Linked DNA regions of Macaca fascicularis. The protein of the gene in region 1 purifies or fractionates together with the protein of each later gene. This does not show direct contact. Links are inferred from orthologs where the notes say so. Each region holds a gene or a part of one and is shown on either strand. Other genes may lie near its edges. The genes, in order: SOX9 and FBXW7.

Region 1 (10,774 bases):
GCACTTACCCAACCTGGCTCTAAGCATTTCGTGTGAACACAAAGGTTGTGCTCAAATCACACTTGAAATACATGAGAGACACCACCAATGCCTCCCCCAGAACTCCAAACTATATGCAGGTCTGAACCGACCGGACTGGAGTCAGAAGCACCAGCGCTTCACCCCTTCAGGTGTTTAGTAAATGCCAGCAAAAGCGGGCAAGCAGCACGACTCTGCCAGAGTGGAGCATTTTGTCTGCCGTGGTGCCCATTTGTTTGGCCTTTTGCAAACCAAGTGACCGGCCTGGGCCTCGCGGCCCGGGACAGCCGCATTGGCAAACTTCGATCTCTCAAAGCCAGAGCAGTTAGCAAACTCTCCCCAGGCAGGACGACTCGGCTGACGTTTCTGACTCGGCCAGGAGGCAAAGACCAAAACGTCAGAGCAGTAGCCCTGTTACTGAGGAGCGTCGGCGGGGTCGCGGGACTGGAGAAAGACTTGTCAGAGCTCAAGGTCGGTGTGGCGCGGGGCGGCCCCGAGAGCGCGGGGATCCTGCGTGGCCACGGCCGCCGCTGCCAACCTTCGCGGGGACTTAGCTTTGCTTTCCATTGACTCCCTTTGCAAAAGCGCAGCAGAATCCTGACCAGCCGCACCAGCCCCGGCGAACCCGAGCATGTTAATCTATTTATGTGGATTATTACGGAGGAACAGCGGGCGTTGAGTCACCAAAACATTTGCTTCAAAAGACTATTTCTAAGCACTTTTGCAGGCAGGCAGGCCCCAGGCGCGTAAACTCGGCTACACATTAAGAAGCGGCTGCTTTTCGAATACTACAAACTCCAGCTAAGTCCCCTGTGCCGCGGAGAGAGCAGTGAAAATAAATGTCGGAGGTGGGGGTAGATCCTAGTCTAGACATACACACTTGCGCGCGCGCGCGCACACACACACACACAAAGATTCGCGCGGAGAAGTCACTAAAATTCTGGCATTCCGAGAGTTCGACAAACTTACACACTTGGAAGTCCCGGGTCCCCCGCCTTTCCCGCAGCACCCCCCGCCCCCCCTTCCCGACCGTCCACCCTTCGGCTGCGCTCCCCTCCCCTCTTCTCCCCTCCCGTCTCGTCACCCAGCCCAGTGCCGCAATCCTCCTCCCTCCCCAAAATCGGGTCCAATCAGCTGCCTGGGACTGCTGTGCTGTGATTGGCGGGTGGCTCTAAGGTGAGGAGGAGTATTTATTAAAGAGACCCTGGGCTGGGAGTTGGAGAGCGGAGAGCGGAGCTCGAAACTGACTGGAAACTTCAGTGGCGCGGAGACTCGCCAGTTTCAACCCCGGAAACTTTTCTTTGCAGGAGGAGAAGAGAAGGGGTACAAGCGCCCCCACTTTTGCTCCTTTTCCTCCCCTCCTCCTCCTCTCCAATTCGCCTCCCCCTACTTGGAGCGGGCAGCTGCGGACTGGCCCCGCGCCTCCCTAAGTGGTAGCCGGCCGACGCGCCAGCCTCCCCGGGAGCCGCTCGCTCCGCATCCGGGCAGCCGAGGGGAGAGGAGCCCGCGCCTCGAGTCCCCGAGCCGCCGCGGCTTCTCGCCTTTCCCGGCCACCCGCCCCCTGCCCCGGGCCCGCGTATGAATCTCCTGGACCCCTTCATGAAGATGACCGACGAGCAGGAGAAGGGCCTGTCCGGCGCCCCCAGCCCCACCATGTCCGAGGACTCCGCGGGCTCGCCCTGCCCGTCGGGCTCCGGCTCGGACACCGAGAACACGCGGCCCCAGGAGAACACGTTCCCCAAGGGCGAGCCCGACCTGAAGAAGGAGAGCGAGGAGGACAAGTTCCCCGTGTGCATCCGCGAGGCAGTCAGCCAGGTGCTCAAGGGCTACGACTGGACGCTGGTGCCCATGCCGGTGCGCGTCAACGGCTCCAGCAAAAACAAGCCGCACGTCAAGCGGCCCATGAACGCCTTCATGGTGTGGGCGCAGGCGGCGCGCAGGAAGCTCGCGGACCAGTACCCGCACTTGCACAACGCCGAGCTCAGCAAGACGCTGGGCAAGCTCTGGAGGTAGGGCCCAGCGGGGGCGGCGCGGCAGGGTGGGCATCGTGGCGGCGGGGGGCGCTGGCCAGGGCTGACTTGCCCCGCCCCGCCTCCCATCGCCCGGGAGTTGCGGTTCCGGGAGCCGGCGGGATGGGGGTGTGGGAGTGGGAACGGGGTGTAACTGTGGCTCAGAGTTTGTCAAAGTTCTTGGGCTGCTCGCGGGGACGCGGAGGAGGGGGTGGTAAGTGGAAGGGGTGGGGGAGGTAGCTGGAGGATGGACGAAGACTGGTGGGAGACGGAAGGAGGGGGCTGCCATCCTGCCTTCCCGTCGCCTGGAAGCTCAATCGGGGCGGGGAAGTGAAGCTTGGCTTCCCCCACCCCGCCCCTTAAAACTGCACTGTCTCGTGCAGCCCCCTCCTCCCCACACACACACACCCCCACGGAGATGGGGCAGGGGAGAAACCGAGGTTGGAGGAGACCCTTGGCAGGAATTGGAAGGCGGGAGGAGGGAGGCTGCTGGAAATAGGTGGGAGTGTATGGGGGGGTGAGAATTGGAGAGTAATTGGGGAAAAGTTTTTAAGGGTGTTGGGATTGGGGGCGATAACTCCAGCAGCAAAGGCGTTTAGGGGGCAGCAGCAGGAGTCGTTTTCATCTTCAGCGTTTCCAAAATAGAAATAAAAGGGGAGGGGATGGAGGGGGCGGGGAGTGACCGCTCAGGTCGGACTGCAAGAACTTATTTATTTATTTGTTTATTTTTAAGAAAAGTTATAAGCCGTGGTTGCAGGCGGGAGGGAAGATGGAGTTGTATGCAAAGGAAGCCAAGTGGTCTGGGTCGCCGCCTCCTCCCCGCCGACCTGACAGTTTGGCGGGTTTCACTGACCCCTCTCCCTCTTTTTCTCTGTGTCCCCCGCCCCGCCCCGCCCCAAGCAGACTTCTGAACGAGAGCGAGAAGCGGCCCTTCGTGGAGGAGGCGGAGCGGCTGCGTGTGCAGCACAAGAAGGACCACCCGGATTACAAGTACCAGCCGCGGCGGAGGAAGTCGGTGAAGAACGGGCAGGCGGAGGCAGAGGAGGCCACGGAGCAGACGCACATCTCCCCCAACGCCATCTTCAAGGCGCTGCAGGCTGACTCGCCGCACTCCTCCTCCGGCATGAGCGAAGTGCACTCCCCCGGCGAGCACTCGGGTGAGTCGCCCCTCAGTCCCGCAGGACAAGCCACCCCGGCCCGCCTGGCACACCCCCTGCCCTCCACCTGGGAGATTCTTTGTGGAGACTTTATGCTTCCCGGGAGGTACACACTACCCTTTGCCCCTGTCCCGCTCCCCCTCTCTACCCAGAGCCTAAGAGGCACCCAAACACACACACATACACACACACACACCCCAACTCAATCCCAGCATCCGAAGAGATTAACTCTTTTTATTGGGAGGTAAAATGCCCTTACAAGCCTTACGAGACCTCCCCCTTCTTCCTTTGCTCCCCCACCCCAAAAGCATACACAGGGCTCTTCTACAAGTAGCAATTTGTTCTTCCGGACCCTCCGGGCCCCAGACCCTCCCCTGATAAAAGGGGGCTGTCCAGTGTGTACCGGCGGGTTAATCATTGGGCGAGTTATCTCCGGTGCAGCGCGCCTCCCGCGCGGGTGCGGGCCCTTACTACACTTTAGCAGCGAGGGAGGGTCCCCGGAGGGTGCCTAAGACTAGGGCGTCTGCACAGCACTTGTTGATTTTCCCGTGCTTGTTCTTTTATTGTCCGCAGGGCAATCCCAGGGCCCACCGACCCCACCCACCACCCCCAAAACCGACGTGCAGCCGGGCAAGGCTGACCTGAAGCGAGAGGGGCGCCCCCTGCCAGAGGGAGGCAGACAGCCCCCCATCGACTTCCGCGACGTGGACATCGGCGAGCTGAGCAGCGACGTCATCTCCAACATCGAGACCTTCGACGTCAACGAGTTTGACCAGTACCTGCCGCCCAACGGCCACCCGGGGGTGCCGGCCACGCATGGCCAGGTCACCTACACGGGCAGCTACGGCATCAGCAGCACCGCGGCCACCCCGGCGGGCGCGGGCCACGTGTGGATGTCCAAGCAGCAGGCGCCGCCGCCACCCCCGCAGCAGCCTCCGCAGGCCCCGCCGGCCCCGCAGGCGCCCCCCCAGCAGCAGGCGGCGCCCCCGCAGCAGCCGGCCGCGCCCCCACAGCAGCCACAGGCGCACACGCTGACCACACTGAGCAGCGAGCCGGGCCAGTCCCAGCGAACGCACATCAAGACGGAGCAGCTGAGCCCCAGCCACTACAGCGAGCAGCAGCAGCACTCGCCCCAGCAGATCGCCTACAGCCCCTTCAACCTTCCGCACTACAGCCCTTCCTACCCGCCCATCACCCGCTCGCAGTACGACTACACCGACCACCAGAACTCCAGCTCCTACTACAGCCACGCGGCGGGCCAGGGCACCGGCCTCTACTCCACCTTCACCTACATGAACCCCGCCCAGCGCCCCATGTACACCCCCATCGCCGACACCTCTGGGGTTCCTTCCATCCCGCAGACCCACAGCCCGCAGCACTGGGAACAACCCGTCTACACACAGCTCACCCGACCTTGAGGAGGCCTCCTATGAAGGGCGAAGATGGCCGAGATGATCCTAAAAATAACCGAAGAAAGAGAGGACCAACCAGAATTCCCTTTGGACATTTGTGGGTTTTGTTTTTTATTTTGTTTTTTGTTTTCTTCTTCTTCTTCCTTAAAGACATTTAAGCTAAAGGCAACTCGTACCCAAATTTCCAAGACAGAGACATGACCTATCCAAGCGCATTACCCACTTGTGGCCAATCAGTGGCCAGGCCAACCTTGGCTAAATGGAGCAGCGAAATCAACGAGAAACTGGACTTTTTAAACCCTCTTCAGAGCAAGCGTGGAGGATGATGGAGAATCGTGTGATCAGTGTGCTAAATCTCTCTGCCTGTTTGGACTTTGTAATTATTTTTTTAGCAGTAATTAAAGAAAAAAGTCCTCTGTGAGGAATATTCTCTATTTTAAATATTTTTAGTATGTACTGTGTATGATTCATTACCATTTTGAGGGGATTTATACATATTTTTAGATAAAATTAAATGCTCTTATTTTTCCAACAGCTAAACTACTCTTAGTTGAACAGTGTGCCCTAGCTTTTCTTGCAACCAGAGTATTTTTGTACAGATTTGCTTTCTCTTACAAAAAAAAAAAAATTCCTGTTGTATTAACATTTTAAAAAGAATTGTGTTATGTGATCAGTTTTGGGGGTTAACTTTGCTTAATTCCTCAGGCTTTGCGATTCGAGGAGGAGCTGCCTTAAAAAAATAAAGGCCTTATTTTGCAATTATGAGAGTAAACAATAGTTTAGAGAAGCATTTGGTAAGCTTTATCATATATATATTTTTTTAAACAAGAAAAAACACCTTGAGCCTTAAAACCATGCTGCTGGGAAACATTTGCGCTCTCTTTTAGTGCATTTCCTCCTGCCTTTGCTTGTTCACTGCAGTCTTAAAAGAGGTAAAGGCAAGCAAAGGAGACAAAATCTGTTCTGGGAATGTTTCAGCAGCCAATAAGTGCCCGAGCACACTGCCCCCCATTGCCTGCCTGGGCCCCATGTGGAAGGCAGATGCCTGCTCGTTCTGTCACCTGTGCCTCTCTGAACACCAGCAGTTAACCTTCAAGACATTCCACGTGCTAAAATTATTTATTTTGTAAGGAGAGGTTTTAATTAAAACAAAATTTTTTTTTCTCAATTTTACCTTCTTTAAAATAGGTTGTTGGAGCCTTCCTCAAAGGGTATGGTCATCTGTTGTTAAATTATGTTCTTAACTGTAACCAGTTTTTTTTTTTATTTATCTCTTTAATCTTTTTTTATTATTAAAAGCAAGTTTCTTTGGATTCCTCATCCTAGATTTGTATAAATGCCTTTTTGTCCATCCTTTTTTTCTTTTTGTTGAAAACAAACTGGAAACTTGTTTCTCTTTGTACAAATGAGAGATTGCAAATGTAGTGTATCACTGAGTCATTTGCAGCGTTTTCTGCCACAGACCTTTGGGCCGCCCTACATCGTGTGTGTGTGTGTGTGTGTGTGTGTGTGTGTGTGTTGACACAAAAACAATGCAAGCATGTGTCATCAATAATTCCTCTGCATCTTCTCTTGGAGTGAGGGAGGCTACCTGGAGGGGATCAGCCCACTGACAGACCTTAATCTTAATTACTGCTGTGGCTGGAGAGTTTTGAGGATTGCTTTTTAAAAAAGACAGCAAACTTTTTTTTTTTATTTAAAAAAAGATATATTAACAGTTTTAGAAGTCAGTAGAATAAAATCTTAAAGCACTCATAATATGGCATCCTTCAATTTCTGTATAAAAGCAGATCTTTTTAAAAAGATATTTCTGTAACTTAAGAAACCTGGCATTTAAATCATATTTTGTCTTTAGGTAAGCTTTGGTTTGTGTACATGTTTTGTTTGTTTCACATGTTTCCCTCCCACCCCCAAACCTTTTGTTCTCTCCGTGAAACTTACCTTTCCCTTTTTCTTTCTCTCTTTTTTTTTTGTATATTATTGTTTACAATAAATATACATTGCATTAAAAAGAAAATGGCCCTGTGGATTTATTCACCCAGTTCTCCTGTTGGACGACTTGGCAAATTTGAGCACAAAAGACATCGTGAAGTGCTGACGACTGTGATGTTTTTTATGAGCACCTTTGGCAATCCTAGAAAACATGCTGAGGAAAAGACTGTGTATCTCCAAACATCTAGGCAGAGAAATCTTGAAAAAGTGCCACTTGAATATTTCGATCACACAGAAAATTACATGTCAGTAGTTGCCCACTCTGGCAAAAATGTTTGTTGTGGTTTTCATGACCTCATGCTTCAGGGCAAAAGCTGTCCCTTGTGGAGGTCAGAGGGAATATTAGACTGAAATCAGGAGCTCGTCAGTAGACAGAATGCCAGAGGGGTGACTTGTTTCTCTGGTTTTAATATGGCAAACTTTCTGTCCTATGAACACATACCCAAGAAATGGAGTGTCCATTTAAAAAGCAAAGGAAGCCAAAGAAAAACAATGTCTACAGGGAACCAGAGGGAAGCCTGTCGTATTAACCCATTAAATGATTCAGAGCCTTCCAGATTTCTCTGCAGAAACAATGAAAGGGGATGATTTTTCTGCTCCCTCCAGTTTAACTCATTCTAAGCAGACGCAAAGCCATTGTAGAAGAAACAAGACCTAATCCTGTTTTCCTTGGCCCCGGTTAGATGGGGAGTTTCCAGGTTCAGAGAAACGTTCAGGTCATTTTTCATTAAATAGATGAAATCACTCTTTCCCTCACATGGGCACACCTCCCCACCCCCACTCCCACACCCCAGCTGATTGGAGAAGTGTCTCTAAAGAGTCAGTCACCTTCACCCTCTCAGGCTAGCTTTACTACTAGGCCTGTGTCTCTGACAGTCTTAACCAGAGTCCAACCTCTCTGGCATTACCTCACATTGTCTGTTTCTGCTTATTGGATTCCTGGCTGACATCCCACACCAGGAACATGGCAACCAGGAAAATGGTAGTTATCAAATCGAGTCTACATTAGTACTCGGCCTCCTTTGCAAATTCCTTCAACAAACATTGATTGAGGGCCTGTGATCTGCGGGGGACTGTGCAAATCCTTCCCTACCCCTTCAGACATCAAATTCTGTTCCTTGTTTGTGACATAGCCTTCCATGCACTGAGGCCCTCCGCTCTTACAAAATCTCTATTTTTTTTTCTCTTGCCAACACTCACAAAGTCCTTTGAAAAAGTCTCTGTGGTGTTCACTAATTCTTGTCTACCTTATTCATTCTAATCCCTTTGTCTATTAAAATCAACACACACCATTCCACTGTGACTACCCCCTTCCCTAGCAAATCTGTATGTTTGTTGTACTGTTCTTTCTTCCAGAAACATGCTCTTTTTTCCCAGTATGTGGCCTTTGCCAGGACTTCTTGAAGCTGAAATGTCCTGTTTGAACATAAACTTGTGAAGGGACCTGAGGCAAGTTGTTTTGCTTTCCTGTGCCTCAGTTTCCCCTTTTGCTGAGTATGTTTATAATTCCTCCTACATAAAGCAGGTTGTTAATAGGGGAGATTTTACCCAGAGCAATCTGGGAATTGACTGCATTGGAGTCTCCTGGTCTGTACAGCAGTCTCCCTGCATTAGAATTCCTGGGAGTAATACCCAGGAAAAAGTGTTTCATAAGCTACCCGAGTGGCTCTGATACACAGTAAAACACAAGAGACACAGAAGTGCTGAGAGAGAATTCCTCAGAATCCCACTCACCCCCATATCTATCAGATCTAGTCAAAGCCCAACATCAACAGATTATAAAATATTTTGGAGGAATTTTTAGTCTAAATCCAGAAGCACGGAGCTTATCACCCTGGCAACAGCAACATATTGATTGGAAACCAAGGAGAGTCCTCTACACCGGAAAGAGTTTGTATGTAGATCCAGGGTTATTTATTTGTTTGTTTGTACTTAAAATAAAACCTTTTCTTTGCTAACCATTTTAACAAAACTGGAATTTTTAGCAAAAGGGAATAAAAATAAACTCATTTAAGAATCAGTCTTTTGCTCTATTATTAAAATAGAACCATGTGGATTCGTTTGAGCTGTTTGACTTTCCCACTTCAACTCCATCCCATCCCTTTCCTTCCCTGATTTCCAAAATGAATGTTTTTGAGGCAGCATGGTGGCACTTTTTATATTAAAGTAATTGATGAACTATCACTACAGCCAGAGATGGATTTACTATGAAGCAAACAAAGCCCAAGCTTCAGTGCCTCTCAAAAGCACAGGCTCCTTTTAAGGCTCTAGACTTATTCTTGACTTTTTAAAATTGAAATTATTTTTCTTAAAGAGCTTCTCTTCAAAAAAAAAAAAAAAAAAAAAAAAGAATAAGCTTCATGCCCCACAAAAGCTGGATCCGCCCCTGACCACACCTACTGGCCAGTAAACTGCAGCATTAGAGGCTGCCGTAGAAGATAGCAAGATTTCTTTCTGTTCTCAACAGTACCTGAAGCATAGTAGGTGCCCTTCCATTGTATCCATGAACATGATGGTATTGCCAAAGAAGACACTGGAATCTCTGCAGTAACACTCTACCACTTGTCTTTACACAGTTTCTCATCCCTCTGAGAGTCAAATGAATTTTCGCTTCTCGAATGACCTTCACTTGTGGGCATAAGACAGGTTTCTTGCACACCAGAAACGCAATGACCTGCCCTCCTATTCTTTCCCTTCCCTTTTCCTGCTCATACCTTTTCTTCCTTTCTTTGCCACCTCTCCCCTGCATTTTCTCAGAGTCTCCCGTTGACTCCAACAGCTGAAAACTCTGCTGGGCCCTGATTGAGCTATTCCTCTTCCATCAAGCACAGACTAGAACTATTTTACTATGAACTTCTGGAGAATCGTTCTTTTTTGACCAGATACAACATGGGCCAGGTAATCTCAGAAAACAACCAGGCTAAATTTGGGGCAATAGTTCCCTGAAGCTATGGTTAGACACTTCCCTTGAGTATTCAGGATTTTATATTGAGCTTCATCCGATCACCATTATTTCCTGCTGTCATATTCCACTCTAGAATGATTCCCACTCCTCATTCTTTCTGTAAACATTTGATTAGGATGCAGCCATGAACAAGAAAGACTGCCCCATGGGGCTTACATTTTCATGAAGAAGAGGCAGGCAAAAATAAATAGTACTTCCTGGTCTTTCCTTGTTTGCATGCCATGGGGGAAAAATGCAACTCATTAGGGCCAACTGGGAGAACAGGCACAGGGAAGGAGGAGTTGATGGATTTGGAAATGGTTTTGGTGAGAACATGCTGAGTTCATTTTTCCTCTCCTGATCTTCATCTCTTTTTCAGTGATATAAAATTGACTCCATTTACATAAAGGGAACCCACTCTATTTTTACCTTAGTCACTCTCTCCTGCCCCTCTGCCCTACCCCCCAATAACCCTCTATTAGTCTCTCTACCTCTTAATGAACCATGGATTCATGGGTCTCACAATCATCTTTTTAGCAGAGACCCCAAGAGAAAAATCCAGTCCCTAGTATCCAAAGAGTCTTTGGATCTCTAGAGATTTGGTTAATGTAGCCTGCAGAAATGAGGAAGGAATCAGAAATGAGGAAGGTATAAAGAAAGGTCTTTTAATTTATTTGTGTTTGCATTGCAAAAATCTCTTATACATTATCTCAGCTATTGAATACTTCTCCATCGCTTCCAGAATACCTGCATGGATTGAGAGCTCACATGCACCATGGAGATCTTTAAATGTGGAAAAATCTTACCTCTGCACTTTCCATGCAATGGCCCAAGGTGGCCCACCTCCACAGCAGAATAATGTGTGTCTTATCCTTCTTCCGAGTGACAGCCTTTCAACTATGTGTGTAGTTTTAAAGTTTTCTTTTACTCTTCCCAATCTAAACACTTACAATACATTTTACGTATGATAGGGCTCCCAAACCCTTTTATATTTGACAGCCTTCTTCGAATGTACTTCACTTACTAGTATTCTCAAATGAGTGCACTCGGATTTTTTCCAGGACTCCAAATACTTGGCTAACATGGAAGACAAATAGATTCATCATTCTTGTCATCAGGAATCATGTTTCTATTAATTTAAATTAAAATCATATTAGCTCTTATAGCAGCCAAGTCACCCAGTTATGTTATGTTAAGTAATTTCTTACCTATCCTGTAATTGTGCAATTGATTTTTCAACCC
Region 2 (11,397 bases), on another chromosome or scaffold:
AGATCCTTTTAAGTAATGTAAAGTAATTAGAACTCAATTACTTTTATATGTCTATGGAATGGTTTAATAATTGTCCCCCTTTGTCATTTACAGTCAAGGATGTAAGTGTTTCAAAAGTTCATTATGATAATAAACACTTTGATTTGAAGACTGTTAATTATGATATATATCAATCAGAAATGATCTGAAGTCATGCCACACAGAATATATAAAAATTATTTCTTGTCTGTCAGGCAAGCATTTAGGTCCTATCTTCAGTGAATTTACATTGTAGTAGGATAGAGAACAAAGTTAAACAACTAATAACATTTTTTTAAAAAAGAATTATTAAGTTGAGGCTCACAGAGCAAGGCAAGAGCAGAGACAGAGAGCTTTAATCAGTAGTCCCTGAAGAGGTAAAGAGTAGAGTGAAGTTCATAAAAACCATAAGGTGTGTGTATGTTTTTTATCTGGTATATATTTGTTAGGACTGAAGTTACTGCCTTTCATAATTTTAAAAATCAGAGTGCAGAATTATATTTATCAAGTATCTCATCCTGTGGAGAATAATTAACTTATATAATATATATATTTATTTAAATATGGGTATTATACTATGCATTTTTTTCTTAGTTGGCACTCTATGTGCTTTCATTCCTGGAACCCAAAGACCTGCTACAAGCGGCTCAGACATGTCGCTATTGGAGAATTTTGGCTGAAGACAACCTTCTCTGGAGAGAGAAATGCAAAGAAGAGGGTAAGGTTCAAAATTGCACAGAGAATATGTTTATACTTTGAAAAGCAGAGTGATTCTGAAAACAAGTAGAAAAAATAAAAATAATATTCACCTACTTATAATAAAATCCACAGATTATTCTACACATTGAAATGAGCCAAATCTTACAGCTAACCCCTTTAACAAGCAATATAACTAATAGCAAATATATCTGATTTGCTTCCTATCACTAGTAGAATTAATAAACAATGAAAAAGTCAAGATGTGGATGATTTAAAGGAAACCCCAAAATTACATTTCCAATTAAATATCCAAATATTTAGTATTAATTAATTCTTTTCATAAATGTTTATTGAACACCTCCTATGAGCCAGACATTTCTTCAAGGTGGGGGATATAGCAGTGAACTGAAGTTCTCTTTCTGTCATGGAGCTTATGTTCTTGAAACCTATTTTTTTCCTTAGTAGAGGAATAGTTATCCTTTGTATTGGGAGAGCTGTTTTGTTGTTTTTATTGTTGTTTTCCCCAGCAGACATCCAGAAAAATATTTTTGAAAAAATATAAAAGTATTATGTGCCTCAGAAGCAAACTTTTTTTAGAAAGAATCATAGAGCATGATGCAGGTACTCTATAGGTGATCATTCCATTCATGGTGGTTATAGTCAAGTGGGAAGCATTGATGGTTAGTCCAGTTAATAAAGGTTTGAGGTAAAGATCCAGGGTACTTGGTTTCTCATCCTGCTTTTCACCTCTGTAGGACTTGGATTAATTAGTGAAATCTTCCTTCTTAAGTATCTGTATACATAAAGTGGGATTAATCTCTGCCTTCCCTTCTCCCATATAATCATTTTTTTAATGATCTTTTAAAAATTGTAATAACATATATGTAGTTTATCAATTTAACCATTTTTATATGTACATTTCAGTGGCATTAAGTACATTCACGTTGTTCTGCAACTATCACTATCATCTGTGTTCAGAACTTCATCTTCCTCACATGAAACTCCATGCCCCCTGTTATAACTCCCCATTATTCCTCTCCACAGCCTCTGGCAACCACCCTTTTACTTTCTGTCTCTATGAGTTTGACTACTCTAGCTACCTCATATAAGTGAAATCATACAATATTTTTCCTTTTGTAATCAGCTTATTTCACTTAGTGTAATGTCTTCAAGGTTCATCCATGTCATAGCATGTGTCAGAATTTCCTTTATTCCATTGTGTATATGTATCTAATGCTACATTTTGTTTATCCATCTGTCGATGGGCCCTTGGATTGCTTGCACCTTTTAGTTATTATGAGTCATCCTGCTATGAACATAGGTGTACAGATAACTGTTTAAGGCTCTGCCTTTAATTGTTTTGCTTATGTATCCAGAAATGGAATTGCTAGATCATATGTTAATTCTGTGTTTGTTTTGGGGAACCACCAGACTATTTTCCACAGCAGCTGCACCATTTGCACAAGCATTCCAATTTCCTCACATCTTCACCAGCATCTTTTAGAATCATTTTGAGAAATGAAATAGTGAATACAAAAATATGCCATATAAAGTGCAAACTTTACATTATTGCTATATACTGTGATAACAGTATTAGAAATTGGACAATGTCTTACATTTCAGTGGTTTCAAGCAGAGAGAAAGATGGAATACTTTATAAAATGTATAATTGTTATTGTTGGTGAAGGCAATTTACTCTTGACCTCTAACACTTCAGGGATTGATGAACCGTTGCACATCAAGAGAAGAAAAGTAATAAAACCAGGTTTCATACACAGTCCATGGAAAAGTGCATACATCAGACAGCACAGAATTGATACTAACTGGAGGCGAGGAGAACTCAAATCTCCTAAGGTAACTGAACTCTGCACAGTGTAACAGAAACCATTAATCAGTGTTAGTACCTAGTGTACTATTTCACTTCTTGGCAAACTGTATAATTTGACACTTCTCTTCTGTGGAAAGAAAACCATATATTTTAAAATAACTGAAAGTATTACTGACAGTATTCTTTTATTGCTAATTAATCTGACAACTAATTGTGCTTGAACAAAAGATAAGTTAAATTGAGTATCTTTTTATCTTACTTAAATGAAAATCTCTCAATATCCTGTTGAATTGTACTGTGTCATACACATTCTACCTGAGAATTTGCTGCCTTCTCTGATCACATAGTCCAAACATGATTTTTTGAGGAGTGTCTGTGTTTTGGTATTGGTGGCTTTCGTGTGTCTTATTTTTATAAATTGAAGCATAATTCTGGTTTTCTGTATTAAAACGTTTCAAATATATAAAGAATGTTAAGAACACTTTAAATTATTGAGCATATTTTTACAACTGGAAAAAAACAGTTTGGGGAGACATTGTGATACTAATATGTATATGTTATAGATTTTTTTTGTTTTGAGAATGCTAATAATTGTTACTCTTTGTGGTTAATAGATGCGTATTTTGTTCTTGTGTGTCAAAGTTGTAAAAATTAGAGGCATATTCTTCTGGTTTGAACAGATAAAATAGATTATTGTCAAATACATTGGTGTTCGAACCATCTTCATGAGGTCTTGATGCAGTAAAACTTTAATAGTTGATGTTTTGAGTATAAATAATAGACTATGGAAACAATAAAATGTTTAATTCTGAATTCGTCAGCCAGGAAAAATAATGCTTTATATTTTATATAAATTATAATTCTAGAGATAGACTACAAATTACCGTTCCAGTTTGTGCCTTCATTTTTCTCTTCACCAGTGTTTTAAAGAACATAATTTAATTAACATATTTCTAATCTGTACATCTATCTTATAGGTGCTGAAAGGACATGATGATCATGTGATCACATGCTTACAGTTTTGTGGTAACCGAATAGTTAGTGGTTCTGATGACAACACTCTAAAAGTTTGGTCAGCAGTCACGGGCAAAGTAAGTTTACTCTTCCTACACTTCACAAAGTCACAATTTTGTGTATAGCATTGCAAGTAGCAACTGGAAAAAAGAAAATCAGAATTCATTCTTGATTCTCAATTATTGGGATAGCAAATATCAGAGCTCGTAACTTAGCTTTTTCCCCCATATTTATGAAAATCAATGGCATGAGGATAATGATGTTTCTCATGATAGAGGTTTCATTAATTTTTTTTCATTTACATAGTTTGTGACAGATATTTTAACATTTTCAAGGGTGCTTTATATTTTTCTTGGCTCAATTTTTCCCCACTTTTATTTACTGTCTAAGTTATACCTCATTACTTTGTAATGTTTTTCAGAAGTATGGTTGAGGGGTATTTATTTTTCCTTATGAACTGCTTTGTTGATAACCTACCTATTGTTTAGAACTTAATAAATCATGTTAATTTATACTTATCTCAAACCCTTGTGAGATGAGAGTGGACTAGGCATTTAAATGTAAGTTTGAAGAAAAAAGTAGCCCAAGCAATCAGCTTGACCGTGTACTATATCATACCTTAATGATTCTCTAGCAAATATTTATTTGTATCTGTCCAGTAGAGAATATTTTCATGAATTAAGTAATTGCCACCTAAAAAATAACAGAAGAGAGTATGAAAACAAAAAAAAATCCATGTCTTTTAAAATGTCTTTTACCATGGTGCTTCTTGGCAAGTATCTTATAAATACGCCAAGTCAGATGTTAAAATTTTTTAAAGCAGCTTTATATTTCCATAGTGTAATATTAGTTTGGGATTTATTTCAGGGCCTTAATGTCTGTCTTTACTTGTCTAGAAGTAGCTTCACTGGCTCCTAACTACTGCCCTGGGGCAGATTCAGATGAAATGTGGTATGTAGCCACACCCAATACTGTTGGCATACTTTCATTGAATCTATTCCCATGGAAGAAACCCAGTTGCAATTTCAGTATTTTTTCATCAAAGAGACCAGAGCTATCATAATTGCTTTCATATCATGTTTCCTTTTTATTATATCATATTTTATATCATATGTTTGCTTTCTACATGTTCTTCAATTGCTTGTGCTTATATAAATTTATAATGCTTTGAATAAACAAAACTATAAATAGTGATGGGATCATTTTATACGGATGTGTAAAATAATATTTTCTGAAGAGCCAAACGAATAAATAACTTTACTCCAAATTTTAATGAGCTATTAAATTTTATTTAAATCACTTTTCCTTTCTACCCAAAAGTAATCATCTTAAGTGTTTTTCCAGTGTCTGAGAACATTAGTGGGACATACAGGTGGAGTATGGTCATCACAAATGAGAGACAACATCATCATTAGTGGATCTACCGATCGGACTCTCAAAGTGTGGAATGCAGAGACCGGAGAATGTATACACACCTTATATGGGCATACTTCCACAGTGCGTTGTATGCATCTTCATGAAAAAAGGTAAGGGAAAATCTTATCGTGGTTGGGACTTCTTCCTCTATTATTTGTGAATTTGGGCCCTTTCTGTATAGAGTTACTGAAATAGTGACAATGAGCTCTTAAATTACATTTAATTATTAGACTTCAGATGGTTCTATTCTAGGAAAGCCATAGTGTTTTGTCTTAAAATTGGGGATTGTCTGTAAGTTTCCTTTTTCATTTGCTAGTGTTGTCGGCTTCCTCTTTGAAGCTCTCTACTCTCTAATCCTTTTTATTGTTCTGTATCTTTGATGACTCATCATGTTCAAGCAGAAATCATTTTTTCTCTCTCTTTTTTTGATATTCTTACTTCTGCAAGTGGGACAAATTCAGGCTTCAAGCGTCTGAGCCTTTTTAAATTACCTACCCACCTTACACCCACCCTATCTCTTAAGTCTAGGCAAAGGCTGAGGCCTGTGAGTAATTTGTTCTCTCATTCTGAACTAGTGTCACAACTTTCTAACTTGGTCATCTTACATTTTATATGCTGACATACAGTCCTTTTATAATTATGATAGTGTCACTGCCCAGTTCTTAAGTCTTTGTGAGCCTACTGTTGACTAACGAATTAAGGAAGAAATCCTCAATCCAGTTTTCAAAATGGTGTCTGCCAAACTAGATTGCTTGACTTTTTCTTCTCAGTGCCTTTGCTATTACTTTTATCTCCTCCTGTAAAGCCCTCCTATTAAAATCCTATCTTTCTATTATCTTCATCATACCCCTGTTAAACAAGTGTGATTTCTGCCTCATTTGTCAAAAAAGGTCTCTCTGAAAGGTCCTTACAGTGAATCAATGGCAGTCTTTACCTTTAATTCTGTCTATAGCATCTTCTTATATTAAGAACCATTACATTAAGCAGATTTCACACCAGATTTGTAATATGTTTTCATTGTGTTCCATTGTGTTCTGACTTAAATCTCAACCCTTTAATTTTCTAATTTTTCCAATATGGAAACTGTGGTATTTCTTTTATCTCTTCAGAATGAATGACATAAGGATACCTGAGTTTTCAGCTTTGTTTTGTAATCCAAAAGTGATTACAGTATTTGCATATTGCTCTGGTTTTCAGGAGAGTGTAGCACTAATGTTGAACCACATGTTTAAGGGATAGCCATTGTTTTTAAAGATGTACATATCTTTAAAGATCCATATCAATATTTTTATAGCCTATTGCATATTTATAAATCTAATCATTAAAAGCATAAGCAGCCTGTGTTTGAGGACATGTCTAAAACTGGTTAATTTTTACTGGAATGTATAGTGTAAACACAAATCTGCAGCTGTTTAAATTCCAAATCCTGACTTGTTTTGTTGTATAACCTTTATTGAATTTTTTACCTAATCACAAGGGAATATATGCATCCATAATTGAAATTTTGGAAAATGGCAAAGAACATAAAGAAGAAATTTAAATTCTTTAAACTACTACCACCTAGAGTTCTCCCATTAACATTTTATACACATGCCCACATTAACATTTTATTTCTAAAATCAAAATCTTATTGTATATATTTAGAGGCAGCTACTGCTGCTTTTAAAAAAAAATACAGTGCAGTGGTTTTCAAACTCAGTCCCACAGAACCTCGAGGTGCTGGAACTAAGGTCCACAGGTCAGGGAACCAAGCATGAAGCATTCTAGGCTTCCCAACTTCCCATTCCCTTATTGTATGTTTATATACCAAGGTTTTACATAGGATTTCTTTTGACAAGAGTTGTTCCTGTGTAAGAAAAAGAAAGCTAAAAAACCTTGACTAAATCTATCATGTTTTCTCATATTATTAAAAATTCTAAACATGGGTTTTTTTGTTTTGTTTTGTTTTTCTGTTTTTCCCTCTGCAGAGTTGTTAGCGGTTCCCGAGATGCCACTCTTAGGGTTTGGGATATTGAGACAGGCCAGTGTTTACATGTTTTGATGGGTCATGTTGCAGCAGTCCGCTGTGTTCAATATGATGGCAGGAGGGTTGTTAGTGGAGCATATGATTTTATGGTAAAGGTGTGGGATCCAGAGACTGAAACCTGTCTACACACGTTGCAGGGGCATACTAATAGAGTCTATTCATTACAGGTAAGATCTCTTATCTGTCCCTTAAATGCTCTCCTGATGAATCATAAGGTTGTTTTACTCAGATAATCGCTGTCAAATTGCTGCTCCAGTACAATCCAAAAAAGATTAACCAGATTATTCTGCTGTTTTTATATAAATTTCAAAATTATTTAGATGCTTTCAATTTTCTGTGATCTATTTCTCCTCTAAATACAAATATTTGTCTTGTAACCTGACAATTTGGGACTCTAAGGTTTGCTATATTAATTAATGGTTAAATAGTCTCATAGGAGAGTAACCTGGATTTTAAGAAACTCCTTTGCAGAGGATTAATATGGCCCAAAGCTGACCCTTTGCTTTGATAGCTGAAAGTTGATGGACCATGTAATTGTGATTCCATCCCCATTCAAAGTGGAAATAGATCCTTTCTGCATAAAGCACTCTACTGTCCCAGGCCCACTGATTTGTAGTCATAAGGAAGTAAAGTTGACTAAACAGATTTTTTTTTTTTTTTGGTTTACATTTCAAGCCCATATCCTTGAAAACATTGCCATATTTTAAGATCATTGACTAGATGAATAGGAAGTTTAGAATATGAATCTTGTTTTGTTTCCAGAAAGGCAACATTTTCAATGTAAAAATATTTCCTACAGCCTATATAGTTTATTTATCAGTTATTGCCCATTAATGTTCAGCAAATTAGTACATAATCTTAGTACTGTCAATTCTGTTCTTAGGATATTTGTTTCTTTGTCGAAGGAATATTGTCCATGTCATGAAATATTGACAATATGATCAAGATGTTTGCTAAATTAGAAAAGGTGATGAATTTGGAGGAAGGGAAATTGGCTGCACCTGTTTGTGATATTCTCAGAAGCTTAATGAATATAATATTCTAATTTAAATAACCCCATTTGATTGAGAAAAGAGGTAGCCACATTATTATATAGAAATGATAGATTGTTGTTGACTTTTGGTGTAGCTGGGAAGCTGGAGAAGAGGTGGTATGTAGTTTGCTTTTGATAACAAAATGCCACCTCTTCTGATTCCAGATACAGTTATCTTTTGGCACATTTCCTAATTAGCATTAGGTTCTTATAAATGAAATTTTATTTTACACACGGTTTTTAATGGAACTTACTTTTGAACATCACGAAAGTTATCTCTAGCCCTTTTCATGCCTTAAGTGCTGATAAGCACTCCGTTTATCATAAGCTATGTCATTAGTCTTAGCTTCCTAGTGGGAAGGAAAACTCAAATAGCAATTCTCTCAGTCACCCATGATATATAGCTAGGTGGGGCCAGATGATTTGAAAATTAATATATTGTTCATTTTAGGTGCTTTGTTTTCATTTTAAGTTGCTTCTGCATCTAGTTTGAAGCAGCTTGGCATAAAGATGAAACTTTCTGATAGAAAGGTGTGAGAACATACATTGTAGAATGGCTTGGCATGCACTTTATCCTCATTGCCACTTTACCTTAGTACCTCATTTTGTTCCTGGCATTACCCATTTCCCATCCTCTTCCCCCTTTCCTACTAGGATTAAGGTCAGTAATTGATATGAAGAGCATCCGTACTTCTATTCTAATAAACTGTGTCTTTTGTAGTTTGATGGTATCCATGTGGTGAGTGGATCTCTTGATACATCAATTCGCGTTTGGGATGTGGAGACAGGGAATTGCATTCACACGTTAACAGGGCACCAGTCGTTAACAAGTGGAATGGAACTCAAAGACAATATTCTTGTCTCTGGGAATGCAGATTCTACAGTTAAAATCTGGGATATCAAAACAGGACAGTGTTTACAAACATTGCAAGGTAAGTATTAGTTACGTTTAGTTTTGTTCATTAAAAATGAGATCATTATTCAACGGAAATATGGAGCTTTAGCATTACAAAAAGAGTCAACCTCATACGGAATGATTACTTCAGAAAAGTTTATGCATATTTTCACCCTGACTTACAGAACTAGTCTACTCTTGAGGAAATGTTTTGAACTGTGTTTTTAATATATAATATAAAATTGTTTAATCACTTCCTGCATGTTCAATTGACTCTACTTAACCTTTAAGAACAGTGAGAAGAAAGATCTTGGCTATATCATAGAAGCAACATACTCATTATATTTTTTTGATTGGCCATTGCATTTTGAATTTGTAGTCCAATTTTGAAGGGCTACCTTATTGAAAAAAACAAAAGCATCCTTGATAGAAAATTTATTTGGCCTCCTCTTAGTCACGTGCTTAACTGGAATGGAGAGGAATAATAGTGCCTACTAAAATAAGAGAAAGAAACAAGTGAAAAATCACTAATATTAGATGAGGTACAGCAATGCCTCATGATTAACTTTTTCTATTTGTTATAGCCCTTAGAAAGCGTTTTTTTCTGGGGTGGGGGAGGGGGGGCGGCATCTGATAGGCAACATTGCAGCTTTTTACTCATTGGTTTTGTCTCTTCTCAGAGTTTTGGAATAGTGACCATTCAGCTTTGAGTGGTTCATAGTGGTGGAGTAATAGATCTCTTAGTGCTCATTTGTCCATCAGCAGTATGTATGGAGTTGCACTATCTGCATCCTCACCAAGGAATGCTGTCATTCACACAGCCAGAAAATAAGACATTTGTCTGGTAGCTAACCAAGGTCTTGGAAGACAGGCCTCTTGAAAGTTAATGTTTCAGTTACAAATTGCTACCAGATTTTCTTATATCCCTGCTGATCCTAAAATACTGAGGACATAGGTTTCTAAATATGTATCATTTCAAATGTTGCATTTATTGTATGTTGTAAAGTAGAAGTCTACAAATTATAATGTAACTAACCCATAGCCATTATTTCTAACCAGTAATTAAATTCTTTTGGTTTTTGTCTAGGTCCCAACAAGCATCAGAGTGCTGTGACCTGTTTACAGTTCAACAAGAACTTTGTAATTACCAGCTCAGATGATGGAACTGTAAAACTATGGGACTTGAAAACGGGTGAATTTATTCGAAACCTAGTCACATTGGAGAGTGGGGGGAGTGGGGGAGTCGTGTGGCGGATCAGAGCCTCAAACACAAAGCTGGTGTGTGCAGTTGGGAGTCGGAATGGGACTGAAGAAACCAAGCTGCTGGTGCTGGACTTTGATGTGGACATGAAGTGAAGAGCAGAAAAGATGAATTTGTCCAATTGTGTAGACGATATACTCCCTGCCCTTCCCCCTGCAAAAAGAAAAAAGAAAAGAAAAAGAAAAAAATCCCTTGTTCTCAGTGGTGCAGGATGTTGGCTTGGGGCAACAGATTGAAAAGACCTACAGACTAAGAAGGAAAAGAAGAAGAGATGACAAACCATAACTGACAAGAGAGGCGTCTGCTGTCTCATCACATAAAAGGCTTCACTTTTGACTGAGGGCAGCTTTGCAAAATGAGACTTTCTAAATCAAACCAGGTGCAATTATTTCTTTATTTTCTTCTCCAGTGCTCATTGGGCAGTGTTAATGCTGAAACATCATTACAGATTCTGCTAGCCTGTTCTTTTACCACTGACAACTAGACACCTAGAAAGGAACTGCAATAACATCAAAACAAGTACTGGTTGACTTTCTAATTAGAGAGCATCTGCAACAAAAAGTCATTTTTCTGGAGTGAAAAAGCTTAAAAAAATTACTGTGAATTGTTTTTGTACAGTTATCATGAAAACCTTTTTTTTTTTTTTTTTTGCCAACCATTGCCAATGTCAATCAATCACAGTATTAGCCTCTGTTTATCTATTTACTGTTGCTTCCATATACATTCTTCAATGCATATGTTGCTCAAAGGTGGCAAGTTGTCCTGGGTTCTGTGAGTCCTGAGATGGATTTAATTCTTGATGCTGGTGCTAGAAGTAGGTCTTCAAATATGGGATTGTTGTCCCACCCCTGTACTGTACTCCCAGTGGCCAAACTTATTTATGCTGCTAAATGAAAGAAAGAAAAAAGCAAATTATTTTTTTTTATTTTTTTTCTGCTGTGACGTTTTAGTCCCAGACTGAATTCCAAATTTGCTCTAGTTTGGTTACGGAAAAAAGACTTTTTGCCACTGAAACTTGAGCCATCTGTGCCTCTAAGAGGCTGAGAATGGAAGAGTTTCAGATAATAAAGAGTGAAGTTTGCCTGCAAGTAAATAATTGAGAGTGTGTGCAAAGCTTATTTTCTTTTATCTGGGCAAAATTTAAAACACATTCCTTGGAACAGAGCTATTACTTGCCTGTTCTGTGGAGAAACTTTTCTTTTTGAGG

What was found.
Region 2: the proteins of SOX9 (region 1) and FBXW7 purify together in Homo sapiens (affinity purification with western blotting; 4 studies listed by BioGRID and IntAct, with this or other methods). This does not show direct contact. The link is inferred for Macaca fascicularis from reciprocal best matches to the Homo sapiens genes SOX9 and FBXW7.

Annotation. Positions count from the first base shown.
Region 1 is NC_088390.1:78,445,601-78,456,374, forward strand, and holds SOX9 (transcription factor SOX-9), read left to right. Parts: upstream 1-1,236; 5' UTR 1,237-1,596; coding exon 1,597-2,027; intron 2,028-2,930; coding exon 2,931-3,184; intron 3,185-3,757; coding exon 3,758-4,602; 3' UTR 4,603-6,613; downstream 6,614-10,774. UniProt on the Homo sapiens protein: Transcription factor that plays a key role in chondrocytes differentiation and skeletal development.
Region 2 is NC_088379.1:157,239,396-157,250,792, reverse strand, and holds part of FBXW7 (F-box/WD repeat-containing protein 7), read left to right. Parts: intron 1-612; coding exon 613-736; intron 737-2,434; coding exon 2,435-2,571; intron 2,572-3,522; coding exon 3,523-3,636; intron 3,637-4,903; coding exon 4,904-5,085; intron 5,086-6,942; coding exon 6,943-7,168; intron 7,169-8,755; coding exon 8,756-8,966; intron 8,967-10,016; coding exon 10,017-10,285; 3' UTR 10,286-11,397. UniProt on the Homo sapiens protein: Substrate recognition component of a SCF (SKP1-CUL1-F-box protein) E3 ubiquitin-protein ligase complex which mediates the ubiquitination and subsequent proteasomal degradation of target proteins.